Cricetulus griseus: one gene and its partners. The protein of the gene in region 1 interacts with the protein of each later gene in a pairwise test. Links are inferred from orthologs where the notes say so. Each region holds a gene or a part of one and is shown on either strand. Other genes may lie near its edges. The genes, in order: Cryab, Lbh, gamma-crystallin C and Crybb2.

Region 1 (6,077 bases):
AACTGGCTCAATGCACGTTGACTCTCTGCTTCCTGCTTGTTGTGGTCAGAGGCCCATCATTTCTCCAGGAGGCTTTGGTTTTCAGCAGCTTTAGATATCCAGTCAGGCTGCCCCAAGTAAGGTTTTTCCTTTTCTCCAGTGCCTGGAAGAGGAGGTTATTAGGTTAGCTAAGACTCAATAAGCTCATTAGTGACTTTTCTTCGTGCTGTCCTAATGGGGTTTGGGGGCGGGGAGGGGGGTGCACCCAGGATGGCTATAAAGTGGTTTGTAATTCCTTGATTATTGAGTTGCGAGTCCCTGAGCAGCTGTGTCCTTGGACAAGGCTCTGACTTCTCTGGGTCTTAGCACTGTGTAAATTCTTCCTTTCTACCTAGGACCACAAGATGGGAGGGGATGTGGACATACTTTTGATTTTCTTTCTTTTTTTTTTCAAAGATCAGTTTTCTCTGAACATGCAAATGGTTAGTGTTCTTAAAAATAAACAATTGAGTTGGTGACCTCAGCCAGGTCGCAGAAGGGAGAAGTCCTGTTACACTTCCTGTCAATGTACCAGGGCATTTTGGGTGCTTTCTTTCAATTAAAAACACTTATAAAAACCCCTTAAAATAAGGTTTGCCTTTCTTTTTTTGAGTCCAAATCTCACTATATATCTGTGGCTGGCCTGGAACTTGCTATGTAGACCAGGCTGGCCTTGGACTCATAGAGACCTTCCTGTCTCTGCTTCTAGAGTGCCAGGCCTGAAATATATATATATATATATATATATATATATATATATATATATATGTTATTGAAAGGATCACACATAGCTTAGGCTGACCAGAAACTGGCTATGCAGCCAAGGATGACTTCCGATTCCCTGCTTCGAGCTCCCAGTAAAGGATCACAGGTGTACACCACCACGCAGTTATTTTATTTTTAGAATTAATTATTAATGTGTGAGACAGCATGATGTGTATATGGGTGCATGTACCAGAGAAGAGTGAGCTCTCCCTTTCCACCTTTAACATGGTTCCTGGATTGATCTCAGGTGCCAAGCTTCTGCAAGAGCCTTTATCCCCTGAGCCACCTTGCCCACCTTTCCCCTTACAGCAATTATTTTGAAAAGAGAGAAGAGATACATGTGGTAAAACCATGGCCATCCTGAATCATCTTTGATGTTTTTGTTGTGATGTTATGATTTGTTTAGCACTGTTCAATTACTTACATCCCCAACAACCACCACCACCACCCCAGCCGCTCTCTCCTGATTCCTCCTCTTTTTTTTTTTCTTGCCCTTCTACTTCCTCTGTTAGGTTGCCTCACATGTGGAAAAAGGTTGCTGAAGAATGGGGTGGGGGAATCCTGTGACTCACTCCTTTTCCCATCCACCTTGTGGTGAGGTGCTAGCAGCCTTAAGAGAGCAGAGTGAATGTGTGTGTGTGTGTGTGTGTGTGTGTGTGTGTGTGTGTGTGTGTGTGTGTGTGTGTGTGTGTGTGTGTGTGTGTGGTGAGGTGCTAGCAGCCTTAAGAGAGCAGAGTGAATGTGTGTGTGTGTGTGTGTGTGTGTGTGTGTGTGTGTGTGTGTGTGTGTTCGCCTGCGTGTGCGTGCGCACGCGCGGGGATGCCCGTCTCCAAACCTGCAGTGTAGTGATTGTAAGCATATGCTCGTGCTGGCAAGCCCACTTGTGTCAGCATGGGTGTGTAGGTGTGTACGCGTGTGTGAGTGCTCTCCGCGCGCGCGCGTGCGCGCGCACCAGTCCGGAGCGTGTGCGCGCGCCCTCGGATTCCCCCGCACTCACGGGCTGCCCGGGGCTGGCCGCTTGCCTCTCGGTGCCTGCCGTGCGCGCCTGACTGTTTCTATAGGAACCAACACGGCGCCAGGGCCCCTCCGGCTGCGGCCTGCGCGCGAGCATGCCCAGTGCAAGCCGCTAGTTTGGCTCGGCTCTAGGTTTCCAGTAAGTGGCATGCGGGACTCAGGAGAGATCCCAGGGAGCTGAGCCGATTGCCTTTGTGTGCAGAGGGAGGAGGAGGAGGCGGCTCGACCCCACCCGGGGAGCCCCACGGCAGGAACAATGCTAGCCTGCCTGACCCGCGGGAACTTACTGGACGTCCTGCAGGAGGGCTTCAATGAGGTAACTGCCCTGCTCCTCCCACCCCCAGCTCCCCGTCACCCCACGCCTCCCGCCTAATCTCCGGAAGGGAATCCTGGGGCGGGGGGCATCCTCTGGGGGAGCCCAGAACACATCATACGTCAGAGTTGAAGAGCCTGGGTACAGAGCCAAGGTGGTGGGTGCGGTGCAGATAGATGCAGGAACCTGAGGGCATCAGAAGGGCGGTGGGCCTCTCTCTAAGCTGAACGATTACCTTCCTGAGTGCCGAGGACAGTGAGGACCACAGACTTAAGAAGGCATCTCCTTGCAGGAAAGGTGGTCCCCACGCCTCTTGGGGACTCTCCAGGGACATCCTTGAGGGAAGCCCTGAACAGGAGGCAGCTAGCTCTTTCTATTTCAGGAGCTAACCGGATGAGTCACGGGAGGGGTGTGGTGGTGTGGCATTGGTAGAAAGTTTGAGAGGGCAGGAGACTGCGGGTGGTCCTTTCCACGTGTGAATTCCCTGAGTCCTGCGCCGTTATGTCCTCCACCACCCAGGACAAGGTTGTTTGAGAGGAGCAACCTGGGTCACAGGCCCAGTTTCAGGAGCCAATATTTGCTCCCCTCTGTGAGAACTGCTGTGGGGGATCCTCAATCTAACAGGAAAGGTGAGCTAGGCTTGACTCAGGCTCATTTTCTCCTCACAAGTTTCTCTCAGAATTCTGTTACCTCTTTCTTCCTTTTGCTTCTTTTGTGATCCAGTCGATTCTTGTTTGAGACCATTGCCATTCCATTTGCCCCCACTCCTCCTCACTCATCCTTTTGGTTGCCTTAGCCCAGCAGCCAGGAAGGCTTAGGCTATTGGTCATGGCTTCCTGCCCACTTTTCCCTCTGTGCACCTCTCCCTTCTCCATCGAATTTTTAAATTTAAGATCTCTTGGGGGAGGGGGTTGGGCATGCTATGAAAGTGTTCTACCACTGCCCTACTCCTCTACCCTTTAAGGCAGCAACTTGTGCTTTTAAAATCAGTTTTTAGTCAGATAACATATGAAAATATAACCCTCCACCCCCAGCACTGGTGACTGAACCTAGGGCCTTGCATATGACTAGGGGCTAGACCACTGAGCTACACCCTAACCTGATATTCTTCTTAAATATTAACGTTACAGGCAAGATGGAAGAGTCTTTTGTGCCATTCCCTGCTTCCACCCCCTTCCCAACCTTTCCCCTAGAGGCAACCAACCATTCTCATGAATTTCCATGTAGGATTTTTTTTTTGTCTCCAGCTGCACGACAGGCTCCCTCCTTGATCGCTGTTTCTAATTAAGAAGCCCTGAGTTGTGACCTGCCTTAGAACCTACCCCAGTTCTGCCCTCCTCCCACCCTGTGCCCCAGCCTTGTTCCTGACACAGACAGAGAAAAAAAATCCAACGGAAATGTTCTGCCAGTGTGACCAACTGTGCTGGAATTTTCCTTTGGCTGAGGGGTGTTACAACCTTCATCAAAGGGCAGAGCTTGTATCCTGCCTGCATGGCTGGCCTCCTCATCTTCGCATCACTTCTCACTGAACACATGTAAGGGAATCGTTAACAAAGAGCTACAGACCCAGAGGTGAAACACAGAAGAGTCAGGAAACACACCTCTTTAAGTGCCTCCAGTACTCCCATTCATCTCTTCTCACTCTCTGCTCCAGGGCCTTCTCTGGTCCTTAGCTGTGTAAATCCTACCCATTCATCAGTTGTGGCAAAAGTCCCTTGGTCCTCCAATGCCCTTCCCCCTTCTCTGTTTTAACCCGGCTCTTTGGTGTCAGGACCCACCTTCTGATTAGAAGGTGACGGGCACAGGGCCAAGTCCTAGTCTTTGCTTTCTGCTGGTCTTTCATTTCTAAATCTTCATCTGAAGACCCATGTGAAAATGAAGTGGCCTGGCTATCATTTCCATGACTCTACATAAATATTGCATAACAGCACAGTTCTTCCAAAACAAGGGGAAGGGGGAGTAAAAGATATTTCTTCCTGTGCTGGTAATAGAATATTTCTAAAAGCAACAGTCAGACAACTTTGCAATCAATTCTTCTGTTAAGAGCCATTCAGTAATATGCTCCTGTGGTATTTGAATTGTCTACTCTTCCCATAAACTGCTCTCTCTGCAGACTCATGTTCTCCTTAGTAGTAGAGTCCTTAGTAGATTTGAACTCTGAAAAACAAAATAGCACTGTGGTTTTATACCTCTAAATAATATAAATATTAATGTTAAATTTGAATGATTCCTTAGTTAACATAAATTCTCATATAATACATTTTCTTCTTCCCACCCCACCCCCATACTATCACACAATCATGTTACTGAATAACAGGACAAGTGAAGCAATTGGTATGGTTGGTGGGAGCCTTGTTTGATCTATTCCAGGCTCAAGGTTGCTTAATAGGCCCAGTAACATTCAATCTCTTTTGCTAGAGTCATGTGATAAGACTAACTGGGGACTTAAAAGACAGTGTCAGAATACACTTAGTTCCTCTGAGAAATTATTTCTACTGAGACTAAGAATACCACACATGTATTCAGCCACCTCTTGGGAATAATCTAAGTATATCTGAAGCTATCCTTCATCACCCAGATGGTTTATTATAGGTCTGTGTGGTTAGGGCTGCAACCTCATTCTCCCTGGCAGAGAAAACTCCCACAGGAGACAGGGAGATGGCCTTAATTGGTTAATTATAGAGAAATCCAGCAGCAGAGAGAAACCCTGCCCTTTGAATCAAGGCTTCCCTCTATTTATTGCTGGTCCCTCTTCAATCCATATGTCACTAAATATAACTGTGTGTGACCGAATCTCCTTCAATCACATTGCCCACCTAGAGTCCTGGCCTCAGCATGCCTGGCAAAGAAGTCACAGAATTGATTCATGTCAGTGATGCTAAAGCAATCTCTTGTATTGACATGGTTGATTTTCACTGAATTATTATTTTAGCTACTGACATTGGTAACCCACCTTGGCTATTCTGCATTTGTTTCAAAGCTATAGTGTGTGTGTGTGTGTGTGTGTGTGTGTGTGTGTGTGTGTTATGTGTGTGTGTTTGTTGTGTGTGTGGTGTGTGTTATGTGTGCACAGCCCTGGAGTTGATGTCATGGCTTCTTCAGTTACTCTCCCCTTACTTTTTGAGACAGGGTCTCTCACAAAACCTGGAGCTCACTGATTCCACTAGGCTGTCTGGCCAGCGAGCTCTGGAAATCTGCCTGTCTCGGCTTCCCCAGTGCCAGGATTGCAGCTGGGTGCTGCTATGCCTGGCTTTTTAAGTAGGTGCTGGACATTGCATCTTCAGGCTTACATAGCAAGCACTTCACTGACCCACATCCCAGGCATGTTGTTTCTAACACAGGCTGTCCCTGAACTCCATATGTAGCAAAGGATTACTGAATTCCTATTCATTCTACCTCCATTTCCCCAGTGCTGGAGTTGCTGGCATGTCCCTCAACACCTGGTTCAAGATACTTAGTATTGGTTGTTATATTAACATTGTCTTTGGCAGTATGAATTTCTGCCAGTGTTTTTTCCTGGGGGATAAACTTTGTTTTAAAAACTTTGGTGTTTGTGTTGGGAGATTTTAATAGACCTATGATTATAATATGGTTTGACCAATAACCATTACTTTATTCCTTCATTGAATGAGGGGAATATACACAGCCATTGAAAATTGTATAGGGAGAGACAAAACCTACTGGAAAAGCCCCATTAGGATGCTTAATGTCATGAATATCACAAACAAGTAATGCTTATGGGATATTGTAGAAACACTTTCTAATTAATAAAACCATGAAAAGAAACAAATATCATACTTTTGTGTTTACTGAGATCAGTTCCCTACCACCACCACTGCTCAGCTGGTATATGTGTGCAGGCAATCACTCACCAAACGCTCACTGAATTACTGTGTTTACCAGGCATCATGCCAGGCTCTGGAAATAGAAGCCAAATAACAAAGTCTGTTCCCTAATGGAGTTCACA
Region 2 (6,077 bases), on another chromosome or scaffold:
CATTTTTACTGCATAAGGCCTGGCTGAGAAGAGAGTTCTGCTGCTATTGGGAGAATCAGGATGGCTAGATAATGATGTCAGTGATTGTCTACTGACCCTAGGTGTCCCAGGCACTATATATAAATGCCTTAAACCCACCCTCTCATCCTGTTCACTCTTCATCACAATCCTACAGGATTCAGACCACTGCTGCCTCATTTTACAAATGAAAAACCGGGGCTCACTGGCAGTCAAGGACTTTCTCAAGGTGACATGGCTCCTACAGGTGATACTGGGATCCTCAAACTCTTACAGGTGATATTGGCATTCCCCAAACCATGCTTACTTCCATTCCCAGAGAAAAGCACAAGGCCCTAAAAAGTTTGAACACACCTGATAGGAAAGGCCATCCTTCCGGGGGCTGAGGCCAATCTCTTCCATGGATGGGGTGTTCATCATCACCTCAGTCATCTCAGCAGATCTCAGATAGTCAGTGCTGCAAAGAAATTCAGACCAGAAGTCAACATATGGCACATTTCTCCTCTTAGCAACTTTGTGGCCCTGAGATCAGGGGACTGCTAAAGATAGGATGAGAGATGCTCAAACAGCTCACAGCAAAACAATTTCACCTGAGGAAGCAACCTTCAAACCCACAGCTCTGTGGCTTGCTCATCTCCAGAGACAGTCAAAGTCCCCACTCCACAACTTTTCCTTCCCCCACCACCAAACCCTACACAAAAGCAATCTTGGATTTTCTATTAAACTAGAAACCACACACATTGAGTACACACACACACACACACACACACACACACACACACACACACACACGATAGGTAGTTGAGTGTGTGTGTTTCTATGAAACTAACACAGCTTAGGTCTCCCGTCATTCTTCCACTAAGAATGAAAGGAATCTTGCCCATGAATTTCCAATGGGAACTGCACAGTAGAATTACATAACAACAACAGGCCAGCCTCCTCAGGGAGACAAAGTCTAATCATGGAGCCTTCTTCACTGTCTCTGTCTGATGCCCCTTTAGGCAAAATGCCCCACCCCAAGGGGACAGCTTTTCCCCAAGTTTCTGCCATCCTACCCCCTTCTGTAGCCCTAGCAGCTGCTGCTACTAGCTCCCAGCATGAAAAACATCCCCCTGGATTAAAAGCCTGAAGGATACACCTATTCTGATTGCAAGGAAATTTCCAGAGGGGCCAAGTTGGTCCACCAATAGCTGACATGTGAAAGTACTTTGTACTCTCTAAGCAGAGTACAAACAGTCTATTATCCTTGCACAGGCCATGGGCACACACAGGGTTCAGTATGCATAGTGCCAAATACATACCTACCAAATCCAGGTACTCACAACAACACCCAGTGTTTTCATTATCACGCCTGTGTACGTGGTTTTAAAAGGGGGAAAAAGCAAGGCAGGGGCAGGCTTTAGAGAGCTTTAGAGAGACTACATTTCTGAAAACAGGAAGACAAGAATCTTTTTTTTTTTTTTTTGTACCAGATAGAGTAGAAATGGTATTTGGCCCTAGCAATAAAAGCATTCAGTTCTGAGAGCCCTCACCACTTAAGAGCTGTGTGATCTTTTTCAGATCATAGAACCTCTCTGAGTTGCAGAAGCTCTGTTTATTACCAACATGCTAACAATGCATAGCTCATAGTTAATGTCTGGAGGGGAAAATGTTGCAGACATCGTAGAAAGTGCTAAAGAACAAAATAATCGTAAGCCTTAATGGGTGAGTTGGGGGCTAATATCCCTGAGGGCTCTGAACATCTATCTACCTTATTGAATTTTGAGCGGCGGGGGGTGGGGGGTGGGGGGCACACCTCCACCACTCTTCAAAACCTCACCCATAAGATGCCTGACTTGTCTGAACATGAGGGGGTACACAAGCTCCAATTGTAGGGGAATTTTACTTTCTTTTGAAACGCAGTGCTCTCTCTAATCAAAACCAAACTGGTGGGACGGGGATAAGCAGAGACACTAAGAGAGGGTGACTGACATGGGCAAGTATAGCTTTAGAAGCTAGACTTTCACAGTTTCCTCCCGGGTCTGGAAATGATGCCTCCAAACCCCAAAGAAGGGAATCAGGAGAGTATCCACAGGGCCGCGACCAGGTTTCTAGCGGCGTTCTGTTCTTTCTTGGAACTGTTGGCTGGGCCCAAAAAGTTAAAACGAGAAACATGAACTTTCAGAGTTCCTGGGCTAAGCAGAACAGCGCCGTGACTAGGGCCCACTTTCCCTGGGCTCAGAGCTTGCCTTGGACCTAGCACCGGCTCTTTGAGGCCAGCACCTGCGGGCTCCAGGACCACGGGTGCTCATCTCCCTGTAGCGCCCCTCCTCTACCCCACAGCAGGAAGGAAGAAGCAGCTGGCGCGCACGTCCCAGCAGCTAGGTCCCTCCCGGGATCTGATCCCCCACAACCGGATTCTTCCCGGCTGGAGGCAAACCTCTGCAGCCCCCCACCCAGCTGTGACCGACTTCTTCCAATCTGGCACTGGGGGAGCCCCTCCTCCCCAACCCGGGCCCTCCACAAAGGCGCGTTGGATTTTAGGGGCCACGGAGAGCAGGGATTGAGAAGGTGCAGCGTGTACCTTGCTGCTTGTGGCTTGCGTGTGCGGAGGGCGTCTTCCAGCCTCACCCCCCCCCCCCGCCAAGCTCTGCAACCCGGGCGGCTGCATCAGCTCAACCCGGCTGCAGCCGTCTTCGACGTCGAGACTTGCGTGCAAACAAAAAGGAAAAGGGGAGGGGCCGGGCGAGCCAGAGCCCCCTGCACCAGGCAGGACTCATCTCCTGCCACCCTCTGCGGACAGGGTTTCCTTAGGGGGCTTCAGGCGGGGACCCAGGTTCTCCCCCACCCATCGCCACCATATCCACACCCTCTGGCCGCCACTTAAGTGAAGGTTCCGAGTTCACTTCCTTTGTCTGGATGCTCTCAGCACCGCCTCCCCCAACCCCCAGCTTTGCAACCTTGACGTCGACTCCTGCAGGGGCTGAGGCGGCGGGTTAGCCAGCACTGGGTGTCCGTGCCACTCTCTGGCCTCGCACCCGGAGCCGGCACTAGGAGGCTGCGGGGCCCCGCAACCACCGGAGTTAAACCGGCGTCCACCGCAGGCGCAGTATACTCACCAGTGAATGGGGAAATATACAGACATGAAGTCCTAGGGGAGGCTGACCCACGCCCTTGTGATTAAAAAAAACAAAAACAAAAACAAAAACACAAAAACCCCAAAACGGTCACTGCGTCCCGAATGAGGATGATGGGCGCAGAGAGCAGCGGGCAGAACCGAGAGCGGGTACAGGGCGATCGCGGGTCCGACTTCCCCAGACAGCCCCGCTGCCAGCGGCGTCGGCAGTGCAGACGAAGCTCCCTACTCTCCACTGAGCTCCGGGTCCCACAAAGAGCCCGGGAAGCCGCATTTATAGGAGCGGGGGCGGGGCTTGTCCGAGAACAGCTCCGCCTCCCCTCGCCCACTCTTAGAATAACGTCACCAAAATCATGAATGGCTTCAGCGCTCGCAGCTCCCGCAGGCGGCGGCGGGGACCAGCCCGGCACTGCACCCCGCCTGAGCTGGTTCGCAGCAGCTACGAGTCCGGCCCCCTCCCCACGGCTCACGCGCGTTCCCGAGCTGGAGTTCAATGTCAACGCGGCTTCCTGTCCACAGATCCGCAGTGTCCGCAGCCCCTTCCCCGCGCACACCCGGGACTCTAAACATTGCAGGGATGGGTGGGCGTGAGGAAGACGTTGGGGCCCACTCGGGACGTGTCAGCTCGCTTGGGGAGGGCGTCATTCCTCCACCCCAGCGCCTGACGCCGCGTTTCTCTGAGACTCCCGTATCTCAGGACCCTCTTCACTGGTCATCCATGCAAACTAGGCCTCTCTTGGGGATCATAGCAGCGCCCCGGGCGCGATCAGGGAAAAGAAAAAGATGGGAAAGAAGGTTGCATGTTGGCTCCTCGAAAAGTCTTCAGTCCTGGGGTCCTTGGAGGGTTCTGTTTGTGGGAGAAAGGATGTGGTGTCTTACTAGGGTTTTTCCACTGCGCGGGAGCGCTTTCGTGTACACACGCGCGCGCGCGCACACACACACAGACTCGCGCGCGCACACAGAGTCGCGCATACACAGAGTCGCGCGCACACACACACACACACACAGTCACACGGAGTCTCTCTCACACACACACAATCGTGCACGCACGCATACACCGTTTGGGTTGGGAGTAGGGGGTGAGAGTGCGCAGCTTGCAAGCACACCCCACTAGCCTTAGCTCCCAGGGCCGTTCGGACAGCAAACACAAAGATCTCCAGGAGACTTGAGTCCTACACTGCCCAGGAATTGCAGATCCAGTGTCTGTCCTGGAGATTAAACTGCTGTGCGGCCCCAGAGCCAAGAAGACAGGACTCGGTACCCAGCGCTGCCCCTCTGTGGCCTCTGTTTCAATTACTCCTGTAAAACAGCTTCATAACCTTGACCCATGCGCATAAAGGGGCTGGGGAAAGGGAGAGCTGTGGTCAAAAACTAAGCACAATTAAATGCGAGTTGAAATAAGTCTGAACCGTGAAAGAAAAGTGGAACTACACTGATCTTCCCTAGTAAAAGACTGCTAGATTCATGAGAGGGGGTATTAGTGGCAGGGCCATGAGGATGTTGGGAAAAGGGACCTCATAATTTTCAGTATCTACACTTCCCTTGAATTAATCCAAACATAAAATAAATCTGTAAGAACAATTTTTGCAGTAAGTACTTTTTCCCCCAATCACATATTCAACCAGAGTAAAAGCTGGACTTTCTGAAGGAGCAGTATTTCATAAGCACTGTAACAAGAAAAATGCAGGGGGCTGTCCCTACTCCTCGAGATAAATCTAGAGCTGTTCATACTATTCAGGACCTGGGGGTGGGGTCTGGTGGAGGGCCAGCTTTTATGAATAGGTGCTGATGGAAGATGGTCCAGGGTGCCTTATTAAGAGGGGTCACTTGTACCTTTTAATAGGGTGGAAAACATCTCAGTGCCATTGGCTGTCATGTGACATGATGTCACCTGGGGAGCCAATGTTTGGAGAGCTAGATTCTAGGCTGAGACTTTCTGGCAATTTTATGAGGCTGGTCCCTGAACCAGGCCCTGAGATTCACAGAAGGAAGCCTCCACCCGTGTCTCTGGATAGCAATCCCTTAAAGGCTTGGGATGAAAGGCTATAGTACCACTGTGTCACAGACGTACTTGACATATTTGTGATTATTACCTAGTGGAGCTATCAAAAGTTAGAAAGCTGTGTCAACCCTCTTGGCACCACCACACACAATGGAAGTCAACTAGCCCTTTTGGGGAAGAGGGTGTGAAATGAGGTCTCCTTCTACAGTAGTGACTTGGCCTTGTGAAAAATGCCCTACATCGGAAGACACTGAACAAATGTTAGATAATTACTCTTTGAGAAACTGTATGAATGAACATTTTAGCTGAATTTCACCTGTTACTAAATTGGAGCAGACAATCAGCCTTGGATAGTGACTCCCAAATCTATGCCAGTTCTCAATGCTGCTACATTTATGTAGTTCCTTACAGTGTTTTTCAAAGCATGGTCACGATGTTGGCTTTCAACAGAATGTGATGCGATTGAAATGGCACAGCTTAACAGTTTACCCTCATGGCTGAAGTAAATTAAGAAACTTGGCACACCTAGACAAGGTTGAGTTGGGACTCAAGTTCAGGGTGTAGGCTCACTCCTTCCCTTCTGTTACATTGTTTCTTTTACCTGGTTTCTGCTATATTGTTTCTGTTACATTGGTCCCCATCTCTGCATTTCCTAGTACTTTTAAGATACCAGAGATTTCAAGGCATACTCTGTGTCTTCCTTTCTCTATATGACATAGGTTTCTACCCTCACTGCCTTTGAATAAATGAAGAAGCAGAAACACCAGCAAATGAAATGGCTTCAAGCTCCAGCCTCAGAGCTGAAAGAAACCTTCCAAGTTGCCGAGTCCAGGCTCCTCATTTTACAGGTGAGATGACACTTAACAGATTAAATGGCATGTCCAAGGTCGCCAGGCTGTTAAGTGATGAAGATGGAAACTGCACTTTCGGACCACTGGTCAA
Region 3 (5,821 bases), on another chromosome or scaffold:
AATAAGATATTGACTCTATACTGTATTATATTTTAAGTATACCATACATCCCTGCACAGTAACACACACACATACCCCTATAATTCCATCTTTATGAAGCTGAAGTTAGAAAGATTGAGAGTTCAAAGCTAGCATGAGCAACAGAGTGAGATCCTACCTTGTAAATAAACAAGCAACAAACAAACATTGCAAATCAATATGTATTATCTAATTTCAGCACTGTGTACAAGGGAAAAATTCCCCAGAAGGGTGCCTGCCAAGTATATACAGGGATCATCAATCAAAGGTATCAGAAGGATCTTTTTACTTCCATTCTGGTAGATTTTGGGAAGTGTTAAGGTTCTGAGTTAGCTGTGATGGTTAGCTTTAATTGTTGTGGTTTGAGTGAGAAAGCTTCTCCATAGTCTCATGAATGTGAACACTTGGTCCCTACTAGGTAGAACAGCTTAGGGAAGGGATTGGGAGGTGTGGCCTTGCTGGAGGAAGTATGTCACTGGGGCTGGGCTTTGAGAATTTTCAGACTTAGCTCATTTCCAGTTTGCTCCCTGTTCATGCTTTTGCAGTTGAAGATAGGATCTCTCAGTTTTTTGCTCTGGCCTGCTGCCATGCCTCTCCTGCCATTATGGACTCCCCCTCTGGAGCTATAAGCTTAAATAAGTTCTTTCTTCCATAAATTGCTTAAGGTCATGCTGCCTTAACCACAGGAATAGCAAAGTAACTAATACAGTCAACAGTTTGACTCAACCTAGAATGACTTGTGAAGAGTCTCTCCTCTTTAACAAAGCAGGGTTTTTCTGTGTATCCCTAGATATCCTGGAACTCACTCGGTAGACGATGGTGGCCTCCAACTCAGAGATCCACCTGCCTCTGCCTGCTGGATTAAAGAAATGCACCATCACTGCCCTGCAGAAAAAGAGTCTTAGTAGAGGATTGCTTAGCTTGGGTGACACTCTGGCGAAGAATTTTTCTCCCTGGGAGTGGTTTCAGAAGGGAGGGGGTTTTAACGTTGCAAGGATAGTGGCAGCCAGCCCTAGCCTTAGGTACATAATACTGGGCTCTATAGTAAACAAAATTCCCCAAATAGTCTGGAGAGGCTGTTTGTCAAATTGTGTCTCCAACCACTTCTGAGATTAGAAGAAAACTTCGACTATATTGTTCTTCAAGAGTTTCAGCTAGCTGACTCCTCCCTAATAGTCACCCTTTTACATACCTTTGCCTGGATTTGCCCTTTCTTTGTTAGGCAGGTATAACCCCACCCCACCAGGCATACCCTCCCCCCACCAGGTATAAAAGCCCTATCACTGAGGTACATACATGCATTCCCAGCCATCTAAGACTTGTTCAAAGTTTAAAAGTTCTTGAACACCTTAACTTCCCCGCTCTCATCTCAACCTTTAAACAGGTGGGTAGATTCGCACACAATGAAAGAATAGCAGAAGTCAGGGTTTGCCAACAATACAGACTAAATACTTTATTAGGTTCCAAAATGAGAAAATGGTAGTGTTAACCTATTTTAGTATAAATCTACCACCCTTCGCAAAGAGCCTGCCTTAGCGTCTACAGCACCCCAGTCGTGGTAGCGCCGGTACTCCTGAGGCCTGAGCAGGTACTGCCGGCCTCTGTAGTTGGGCATCTCATAGAGGACCCAGCAGCCTTCCAGCACGTGCAGGGAGCGCACCTCACTGAGGTGGAAGCGGTCCTGGATGCAGGCACAATCTTCATTCAGCTCCATCATGAGGCCTTTATGGTCTTCTCTCTCATACAGCCGCATCCTGTGGGAACCAGTCTGCTTGGGTAACAGAAAGAGCAGAAAAAGGCATTGAGCGTCTTCCAGAACTTGTGGCTGGCTGGGCGGAGGGGGGAAGGGGGAGGAGCTGCCGGTGTAATATCGGAGCCTCTGAGATTTAGAACTGTGCACTGATAAATCTGCTAGCAAGCGTTACAAACTCCTACATGCCCAGTTTCGGTTTTTCATCTAGGAGGTAGAATTTTTAACATGTTAAAACTGTATTTCAGCCAAAAATTCAAATATCTTAATTCCCAACTCTCTGTGTTCATTCTACGTTGTATGTTGGCAAATATAAATAATGGATGTTGATTAGTATTTTTTTTTACTTTTGTATATGTTTATATACATATACGTTCATCGTTATAATGGGATTTTTTCAAACTTACATTTTATGGTTTTTGAGAATTTCATACGTTAGTCCTGAATTTACATCATTCCCAGCTGTCCCATTCCCCTGATTTTGTAATTCCCTAAACTGGCTTCACACTCAAGATCCTGTAGCCTCGGCTTCCTGGATTACAGGGAATCAGTATGCCTGGCTAGTGTAGAGTTCAGAAAACTTAAATAACTTATGTGAAAAGTTAATCTAGAATTTAGATGGTTTTCAAAATTAAGGAAAATTATCATTTCCAAAATTGGTCTCTGTTTTTACACAGTTTTTGATCACCATACTTTTCCATGTTTCCTACCCCACAGTAATTAACTCTCTTATCAGAAATTCCGTTATAGGTTAAAATCAATCTGATAGGCATAATGCCTTCTCTTGACCAAGCAGCCTCCCATTTACCTAAGTTGTCTCATATACCAGCATAAGACTGCATTCATTGAGAAAAGTTTTGATTACCTAATTGTAGCAACTATAAAGTGGACTTTTTTTCTAAGTAGATTCTTCCTTATAATTCTGTCTTCCTGGTTGTGTCCCTTAGGCAGACACTTCATTCTTAAGTACTTTTTTTGTTTTTGTTTTTTCGAGACAGGGTTTCTCTGTGTAGCTTTGGAGCCTATCCTGGCACTCGCTCTGGAGACCAGGCTGGCCTCGAACTCACAGTGATCTGCCTGCCTCTGCCTCCCGAGTGCTGGGATTAAAGGCGTGCGCCACCAATGCCCGGCACCCTTAAGTACTTCTACAGACAAGGCTTACTCTCTGGACCCCACATCAGTAAAACAGTGAGGACCCTTGGGCAGAAAGAAATAAAGCCAAACAGGACTCACGTGGGGAATGAGGCGGCAGGAGCGGATGGAGTCGCTGAAGCCCATCCACTGCTGGTAGTCAGGGTAGTCCCCGCGCCGCAGGAAGTACTGGTGGCCTTGGTAGTTGGGGCGCTCATAGAGCATCCAGCAGCCACTGTCCACTCTGATGGAGTTGCAGCGGCTGAAATAGGTCTGCAAGTTGGGGCAGTCGCTGCTGCACTCATAGCAGCGGCCCTGGAAGCTGCGGTCCTCGTAGAAGGTGATCTGTAAAGGAAGAGCAATTCTGGATGAGATCATTTTCTCCTTGTGTGAAGGCCGGTCCCTCCGACTCTTTGTTTAGTTTGCGCTCTGCTCACCTTCCCCATGGCTGGCTGACCGTGGTGAGTTCAGTGTCCAGCCAGAGAGCGGCGGGTCTATATAGCAGGAGGGCTGCTGCGTTAGCGGAACAGCACAAAAGGGGCCCTCGGGGCTGAGGGGATTTTTATGGATCGCTTTTCCATGCTGCATTCAGTGGCGGTGATTGCAGATTCGCTTGGTTCTCTGGTGTGTTCCAACGCTGCCCTGGACGAGCTGCTGGGTGTTTTATTTGGATTCTTACTGTTTTTTAAATTTATCAGCACATCAGCCTGAACTTTTGACCTGAAGTCCATGCCCCTACATTTTGATTCTATTATACTTGGTAAGTCTGGGGGAAACCTGTACATTTGTAGAAGTGCCCCCCGAGTCGAGAGGGCTGGAATTTTGCAAATATTGCAAATGTTGATTAGTTTCCTAGTACGACAGAAACTGGTCACCGTTATTCCTTCTTCCTACTTATTTTCTTTACAGCATTTGCTGGTTCGTTCAGCACACAAATCTAGATTCTAATCGTGGCTCTTCTCTACTGTGATGCTCAGGACCTAGCCACGAGTTTCTCCTTTGGTGGGGGCATACTCTGTGATGCAAAATCAGTCCCCCCCCCCTCGTAGTCAGCTTGTGTTAAGAACAAAGGGAAAGTTTTGTACAATCGTGAGGTCCAAGACTGACAAGTATGTATGTATTGCTCCTCATTTCCAAGGTCAGGGAGAAGGCCTAGACTTTCCTGTGAAGAGTGAGATTTGAACCCACGTTGCAGGGACACCATAAATCACCCCTCAGAGCAGGAATTACCTTGTGGGAGAGTGAAGGATGAGAAGGAAAGAAAAGAACAAAGCAAAGAAAAAAAATGAGGAGGAAAGGACATCTCTGTCATTTGGCCACTGTTGGGTCACTTCCACCCAGGACCTATTAGATATAAATAGCCTTAGTAAGTACAAGTCAGACAAGGTTATTCAGAGTGAGTTTGTCTGAACAAAGACAAATCCAAAGCCAATATATCACCCACAGCATGCTGAATGTCACCCTTCTCAGCTGGAATGACTAACTACTACTTTAAAATACATTTTAGCATGTTTGTGAATCAAATATAATATAGCTCTCATAGATGCTGGGGAGAGTTCTGCAAATGAACTCTCTCTCTCTCTCTCTCTCTCTCTCTCTCTCTCTCTCTCTCTCACACACACACACACACACACACACACACACACACACACACGTTACCCTTGTGCCCCAGGCCTATTGCTTCCTTATTTATGGCTTTGTCTTTGTTCTAGCATCCCTCTAACATGGGCAAAGGTTAATGATATGACCAGTGTCTGTCTCTGTCTCTGTCTCTGTCTCTCTCTGACAGGGTCTCACTATGTAACCTAAGCAAGCCTTGGACATACTGCAATTCTGCAATTCTCCTGTCTCAGCCACCTTGGTGCTGTGATTATAGGAACACACTGTCAAATCTGGCAAATTTCTCAGCTCCCCCCTTCTTCCCTCCTTTCCCCTCCACTCCACTCTTTCTCTGTGTATGGCAGTGGTGGGAATTGAACCTAAGGCCTTATTCATGCTAGGCAAGTGCAAGGGCGTGGTCAGGCACACCTGTAGCCAGCCCCTAAGTAGGCGTGGCTACAGCTTCCCCTACACTACCCCATTGAGATTCTCCACCTAGACCTCCGAGTTTTTAGAGCTTCCTTAAACCACAGCATCAAGGTGTACATCCTAGACACAGCTCTTATAATGTCAGCCATCTGAAAACCATCCTATTTCCTCAGCATATGTGCTCTCTCTGGAAGCAACAAGTCATAAACTTAACTGGTTTACAGGCAGGCAATTGAGATGTTTAGCTGACAGACATTAGCATTCATAACACCATCTGGTGCAAATGAACACTGGTAATGCTAGTGACATTGACAATAGTGTTGGAGTGACATCATTGAGGATGTCAACCTGGTTCTCTGACCAAAGATAGTGTACTCAAAGGTTCCTGAGCCATTTTGTGGCTGAAAAAAAAATGACACTTGGAAAAGACATTAGAAATCTTATGGGGGGGGGGGAGCTGGAAAGATGGCTCAGCAGTTAAGAGAGCACTCATTGTTCTTCCAGAGGACCCTGGTTCAATTCCCAACACTTACATAATAGCTCACAACTGTCTGTAACTCCAGTTACAGGGGATCTGAAATCCTCACACTACATAAATGCCAGCAAAACACTAATGCACATAAAAAAATAAAAAGGAATCATCATTGTCTTAGTTAGTTTTATTTTTTTATTTATTGCTGTGAAGAGACAATATGACCACGGCAACTCTTTATAAATGAAAACATTTCTTTGAGGGGGCTCACTTACAGTTTCAGAGGTTCAGCCTATTATCATCATGGCGGAAGCATGGCAGCATGCAAGCTGATGTGGTGCTGGAGCTGAGAGTCCTACATTTTGACTCAGACGCAACAGGAAGTCAACTGACTGTCACACTGAGGGAAACTTGAGCAAAGA
Region 4 (6,285 bases), about 70 Mb from region 1:
CTCCTCTCTGGGGGGCTGGGAAGCCATACGGAAGCACTGTATCCATTAAACATGGGCCTTTTCTAATTCAGTTTGATTTGATCTGATTTGGATTGTTGCATCAGCAGAGAGGCTTATCGGGGTGCAGAAACTTTTCAGTGTGTATGTATACATATGTGTGTATGTGTACATGTGTGTGTTTGTATACTATGTGGTGTGTGTGTGTGTGTGTGTGTGTGTGTGTGTGTGTGTGTGTGTATCTGTGGCTGTCGAGAGGATGGAAACTGGATGAGAGAGGGAATCAGCTAGCTTGGCCTCAGCACATCTCCTCTCTTTCTTGACCTTGGATTGAAGGTCAAGACAGAGCCTGGTCTGCAGGAAGACATGCACTCTCGAGGATGTGAGCCCAGGACAGTGATGGGCCAGCAGTGGAGTTCTGAGAGACTCTTCTCCCACGTTGGGACCAGGATCCAAGGCACATCTCCTGAAGGACAGTAGGTGTGGGCAGCCAGCATCCATAGAAGTTCAGTCTTCTCAGCCAGCCTCTTGTCCTGCATTGTCCCTGCAGGACAGGAACTCAAACAGGGCAGGATCTTGGAGGAAGGAGTTGGTGCAGAGGCTATGGAGGGGAGGTGCTTACTAGCTTGCTCCCCATGGCTTATTCATCCTGCTTTCTTATAGAACCCAAGACCACCAGCCCAGGGATGGCCCCTCCCACAATGAGCTGAGTCCTCCCACATCAATCACTAATTAAGAAAGTGCCTTACAGTTGGATCTTATGGAGGCATTTTCTCAATTGAGGTTCCTTTCAGATAACTCTAGCTTGTGCCAAGTTGACATAGAACTAGTCAAGACAGTGCATGATGGATGCATGGATGGATGGATGGATGGATGGATGGATGGATGGACAACAGGTAGGTTGGCATGGGAGTATGTGGATGGGTGGATGAATGAATGAATGCTGGTCTCTTCCTGAAGTCCCTCTTTGCTTGCTTGCCCTACAGACACTGGGAAGGCTTCTGTCTGCTGTGCCCCAGGGCCTGGTGATTGCATCTGTGAACCTGGCATGGCCCCGTTCTGGCAGCGGGATGGCTGATGCATGCAAAGTGGGCACAGTCTTGCCCAGCCGCCTGACACACTGGCGCAGCCGAATCTGAAAGCTAATGACATTATTGTGTGGAGACACAATGTCTATGGGCATTTGCTGACCCAGGCTTTGGTGTAGGCTTAGCCTGCATTCTCACCCTGCTTTCCGCAGGGATGCAGCAGTCACCCATCTTGGCACCAGCTCCCCTGGGGAAGGTATAAATACCACCTCCCACCAGCTGGGCTTCACGGCACTCACCGGGGCTGGTGATCTGGTAAGGAGGCTTCTGCTGCTTGCTCAGCTCTTTGCTTTTCTTTCCTTCTTGCTGGAAAGCATGGCACAGAGACCAGTACCTGGCCTCAGTTTTCCCTTCTGTTAAGTGGGGAGAGGGGCAGTCTAAGCCCCTCTGCCATGGGTTAGGAAACAACACAATAGACTGACCTGGTGCACAGCCAGCACCTGGAAAAGGCCCCTCCTTTCTTCTGCTGGAGACCGGGAAGGAAGATGTGTCTGGCTCAGGAACCAGAAGTGGCCCGACCTTGACTGTGTCTAGATTTTGGAGCCAGCTTTCTCCTGACTAGTCATTGTGGCTCCGCTGAGCCAGCCTTGGGGGAAACTTGTGAGCTGAACTCAGCTGCACCTGTTTCTGGGCACTGTGACTTTAGTGTCACTAAATCCCACTGGAAATGGCCCTAACTATGTCACCCTGACTGTCCCTTCCTGGGTGCCAAGTGTATTACGGGGCCCTGTCAGATGTACACAGTTGTATGGAGTCCTAGTTCACACAGAGAGAGTGAGGCACCTCTGTTGGTTTCCTGGTGTACAGAGTAGGAAACTGAGGCGCAGAGAGAGGGCAGGACTTATGGGCGCCTGTTCAGCTCCTTGGTGGCAGAGCAAGCACTTGGAATGGATCAGCTGAGTTAAACACCTAAAGGTAGAAAATTTGTTGAACTGCAAGAGGGTGCGGGGAAACCTTCCAACATGATTCCATAGCTCAGGAGTCCAGCAACAGGGAGAGGAGCAGTAGGAGAGGAGCTGAGGGGAGAAGGGGGATTCTTCCACTTAGATCAGGGCTGGATCATAGTGTAGGGGAAGACAGAGCCCAGGTGGCTGCTTCTGGAACAATCTAAAAACCCTGTCAAAAGAGAAGAGGGTTGGGGTTGGCTCAGGGCTCCTACGGCAGCGTCCTCATGCAGCTTCCTCATTTCTTCCAGGTCACCTTGACACCAGAGAGTCCACCATGGCCTCAGACCACCAGACACAGGCGGGCAAGCCCCAGCCCCTCAATCCCAAGGTGGGTATCCTGCTGGAGGGAAGGGCAGGCAACATCTACATGCCCAGTCAACTTCTTCCTTCCTGGTGCTCGTTCTCAGCCCTGTCCCTCGGGGGACTCAGTCTCCCCCAGCTGCACACCTGGGGCCAATTCCCTGTGCCCTTCCCCACCCACCTGAGTGCCCGGCATCAGCTTCAGATTTTAGAGAATTAAATGTCTCTGCTTGTCTGCCGCCCCACATGCTATCACCCACGGGACTCCCAAAGACCTGGCAGAGACTCAGTGCCAACTGAAGAGGATTTCCAGGCCCCCTCCTGCTGTGTGGCCCAGGCCAGTGGCTTAACATCTCTGAACATCAGCCTATACAATAGGGAGCATCAATTACACATAGAACAATTGTGCAGGCCCAGAAACCAGACTCAGCGTCTTACCAGAGAGCTATGTGTCCTCGCTGCCCATGCCAGCTCAGACCGTCTGCTTCACTTTCTGACTCTCACACTCCAGAGGCAGCTTATTCCAGCCTCTCCGAGGCTGGTCACACCCTATCTGGCCCAGCTAAACCTCCTCATTCCATTTCCTTGAGTGAGTGACAGTCAGCAAACTGTCTTGAGGTGGCCTGTAGCCTGAAGGAGTGAAAAGCATTTAACACTAAGTAGTTTAAGGGATCCCCAGAGCTGGAGTTCACAGCAAATAGTGGGTCAGCTTGGTGCTTTAGGGGGGACCTCCATGAGGAGGTGACTGGGGTCAAGTGAGGGAGCAGCCATGTAAAAATAGGGGGCTCGGAATGGTGAGGCCACTGGGGTAGTGGGAACAGCACAAGCAAAGGACCCGAGGTTGCCAACAAGTTGGATGAGTTTGAAGAAAAATGAGACCACCGGGTGCAGGGCACACAGCATTTCAGTACTGTGATGTCACACACACACACACACACACACACACACACACACACACACACACACTGTGATGTCACACACACGGTGACATCACATACATACACAGTGATGTCACACGTTTTATGACATCACAGATGTACAGAGATGTCTCATATATACTACAAATCACACGGGTAACTTAAGATCTTCCAATGGTCACAGTGAAAGTTATAAAAGGCAACGGGTGATTAATTTCCATAGTCTCCTTTGTTAAACAGTTCATTCCCACTCTGCCTGTCTTCAAATCTGTGTTTCCTATGAACAGCACACAGTTAGCGCTGACTGCATGCTCAGGGCCGTGCAGCTAGTGGCTTCTGCACTGGGTAGTGTGTGGTTACAGGGTTGGTCAATAGGAAAGAATCTAGACTCTGTTACTATTATTGCTGTTGTTGTTGTTGTTGTTGTTGTTGTTGTTGTTGTTATTGTCTTCTCTACACCAGCAGCAGGGTTCAGCACTCCTGGGACCCAGGGCTTCTCAAGTGTACGGAGAACCTGACCCTTCCCTACTGGCCCTTATATTCCAGGCTAGGTAATGGCCACTGAGCCCCCTACCCTACCCCGACTTCTAGAGCCTTCTCAATGCCCCTGCAAACAGGTTTACTGGACTGCCCTTCTGGAAAGCACAGTTCCTCCTTGGGCTACACAGAGCAGGGGAACCAGAGCCCATGTCTCCTGCTTCTGTGCCTGGAGGGGTCAGTGACCATGAAGGCTGAACTGATCCCATGGAATCTGCCCCTGAGCCCTCCTGGCCACTGCTTTTACTTCTTTTATCTCACTAATCCCCAGCCTGGGAAACAGAAGTGCTTTCTCTAGCTAGTGCTGACTTAGGGACCCTGTACGTATCCCTCCTGTCTACTTCTTCATCCAGAGGTGGCTGCAGGCTCCCGTCTTTGGGGCTGAGTGGCTAGAAAGGTTCCCTGTTCCAGGTGTGGTTGTAAATGTGTTTAGCTCATGGCTGTGAGGCCTTGAGTGGGTCTCTTCACTCTGCAGAGTCCCAGGATCCTTGTTGGGATTCCACCGGACCCCTGCCTAGGCCAGATGAGGAGACAGGACAAGGCACAGAGTGGGGGGATTTCTAGTAAGATCCATCTCACTTGGGTGGCCATAGGGAGACCTGGAGACCTCCAGGGGTAGAGGCTTGAGGAAAAGGGCCCAGGAATGTGTGTGTTTCCGGGAGACAGCTGGTGTGTGGTGTCTGTAGAGGGGTATCTCACACCTCCTGATTGCCACCTCCTGGGAGCCAAGTGGCATCTGGAATATGGGGTGCGGCACCACAGAAGCAGTGCCATGAGACTACCTTTTGTCAAGATCCCAGGTTTGGTGTGCATGTTCAGTTTGCAAGCTGCCCTCTAGTTTCTGCTATATCACACAAGTCCAGGCCATGTACCTAGCTTTGATCTGTAGCAGATGCACTATGGGTAGCTGGGGTATTGCTTAGAGGGAGTGTGGCTGCTGGATGTGTAGAGTTCTATCTGGCCCTGGTTCTGTCTCTAGAACTCCACAGACATAAAGGAGTCTCTCACGCCTGAGCTGAACCTTCTGCCTGCCATCTTGACAGCTTCCCTGCCCCTGGCTGGTTCTGTCACCCATTTCACTGGCAGGGAAACTGAGGCTCAGAAAGCAGCACCTTCAGGCTCCAAGTCTCCAGCCCTCAGGTCTGCAATCCTGGGGCTCTCTGAGCTACCTGTTCACCCCCTGCTCTTCCCACGGTCCGACTCTATCCCATTCCTTCCAGATCATCATCTTTGAACAGGAGAACTTCCAGGGCCACTCTCATGAGCTCAGCGGACCCTGCCCCAACCTGAAGGAGACTGGCATGGAGAAGGCAGGTTCTGTCCTGGTGCAGGCTGGACCGTGAGTATCTGGGTGGTCTCACCTAGCCAGGGACTGTCAGCCTGGTAATTGAGATGTTGAATTGGGGATATCTAACCTTTCTGTGTTCCTAGGTTGTGTGTGATAGAGGCAGGATTTGGGGTTTGGCAGCCCAGAGGGAGTTTGTGCTTAGGAGGCTGGGTTCAAATCCTGGTTAAGGGGACTTGCAGGCTATGTGGTATTTGACCATTAACTTCCCTCTCTGATACTTGGTTTCCTTTTCGTAGCCAATACCTTTGCTGTCATCCTTCAGGTCCTGTCTCTACTCAAGAGAAAAGGGATGTAATTATGGAGGCTGCCTCTCCCCTCACCAAGCAATGAGTTGCATGAGGGCCATTGTGTCACTCATCTCCCTCAGTCCTCCTTTGTAAATGTCTTATGAGTTTGGGGACACAGTGACCCCAAGAAGTCGGTATACATCTGGTGGTTCAGGAGCCTGTACCAGTCAGGGCCTGAGTGTGACAACATACTTATGTCTGAGTCTAACAGACTTGCACAATTACAGTTATTAGCATGTACAGGGGACTAGGCTCTGCCTCTGTAGAACATGGGTCTTCACCCTTTGAATACTTCTGACCTCATCTACTTTTGCTATTTTGATGGGAGAATTTCCCAAATATTTTAAATATTGGAAATAAGCCTTTGTGTGTTTGATTTGTTGTGTGTGTTGGGACGGGGGTTACTGAGGGTGAAACCCATTGATTCGCCTTTGCAAGGCAATCCCCGATCACTGAGCTATGCCACACCCTTCAAAACTGTTTTGTAAGCTGGGACTTGGTGGTGCACGCCTTTAATCCCAGCACTCAGGAGGCAGAGGCAGGAGGAGTTCGAGGCCAGCCTGGTCTCCAGAACAAGTGCCAGGATAGGCTCCAAAGCTACACAGAGAAACTCTGTCTCAAAAAAACCAAAAAAAAAAAAAAAAAAGAAAAGAAAAAAGAGAGAACTGTTTTAATTTACATTAACACTCTTTCTCAGAATATGTCTTGAGTTTTAAAACTAACTTTAAAAATTGTTTTCTGGGTCTTTTGTTTTGTTGAGGGTCTCACTACTTAGCCCAGGTGGGTTTTGAACTCCCTGGTGTTGGAATTCTAGGGAAAAAATAGTTTTTGCATATCGGTTAAAATATGTGTTCAATATTAAGA

Evidence for each region.
Region 2: the proteins of Cryab (region 1) and Lbh interact in a two-hybrid assay, tested with the Homo sapiens proteins (2 studies listed by BioGRID, with this or other methods). The link is inferred for Cricetulus griseus from reciprocal best matches to the Homo sapiens genes CRYAB and LBH.
Region 3: the proteins of Cryab (region 1) and gamma-crystallin C interact in binary tests that used the Homo sapiens proteins (3 or more experiments, as listed by UniProt). The link is inferred for Cricetulus griseus from reciprocal best matches to the Homo sapiens genes CRYAB and CRYGC.
Region 4: the proteins of Cryab (region 1) and Crybb2 interact in a two-hybrid assay, tested with the Homo sapiens proteins (2 studies listed by BioGRID and IntAct). The link is inferred for Cricetulus griseus from reciprocal best matches to the Homo sapiens genes CRYAB and CRYBB2.

The regions. Positions count from the first base shown.
Region 1 is NC_048597.1:162,497,955-162,504,031, reverse strand, and holds the start of Cryab (alpha-crystallin B chain), read right to left. Parts: upstream 3,403-6,077; 5' UTR 3,315-3,402; intron 3,275-3,314; exon of another isoform or gene 2,801-3,274; intron 2,740-2,800; exon of another isoform or gene 2,603-2,739; intron 2,504-2,602; exon of another isoform or gene 2,232-2,503; intron 2,172-2,231; exon of another isoform or gene 2,114-2,171; coding exon of another isoform or gene 2,054-2,113; exon of another isoform or gene 1,977-2,053; intron 1,905-1,976; exon of another isoform or gene 1,781-1,904; intron 143-1,780; 5' UTR 1-142. Other genes in the region: Dixdc1 (dixin), read left to right, coding at 2,109-2,113. UniProt on the Homo sapiens protein: May contribute to the transparency and refractive index of the lens. Has chaperone-like activity, preventing aggregation of various proteins under a wide range of stress conditions.
Region 2 is NC_048600.1:10,685,693-10,691,769, forward strand, and holds the start of Lbh (protein LBH), read right to left. Parts: upstream 3,414-6,077; 5' UTR 3,143-3,413; coding exon 3,117-3,142; intron 476-3,116; coding exon 373-475; intron 1-372. UniProt on the Homo sapiens protein: Transcriptional activator which may act in mitogen-activated protein kinase signaling pathway.
Region 3 is NC_048595.1:419,054,660-419,060,480, forward strand, and holds gamma-crystallin C, read right to left. Parts: upstream 3,346-5,821; coding exon 3,337-3,345; intron 3,245-3,336; coding exon 3,002-3,244; intron 1,790-3,001; coding exon 1,514-1,789; downstream 1-1,513. UniProt on the Homo sapiens protein: Crystallins are the dominant structural components of the vertebrate eye lens.
Region 4 is NC_048597.1:92,698,825-92,705,109, reverse strand, and holds the start of Crybb2 (beta-crystallin B2), read left to right. Parts: upstream 1-2,306; coding exon 2,307-2,360; intron 2,361-5,006; coding exon 5,007-5,125; intron 5,126-6,285. UniProt on the Homo sapiens protein: Crystallins are the dominant structural components of the vertebrate eye lens.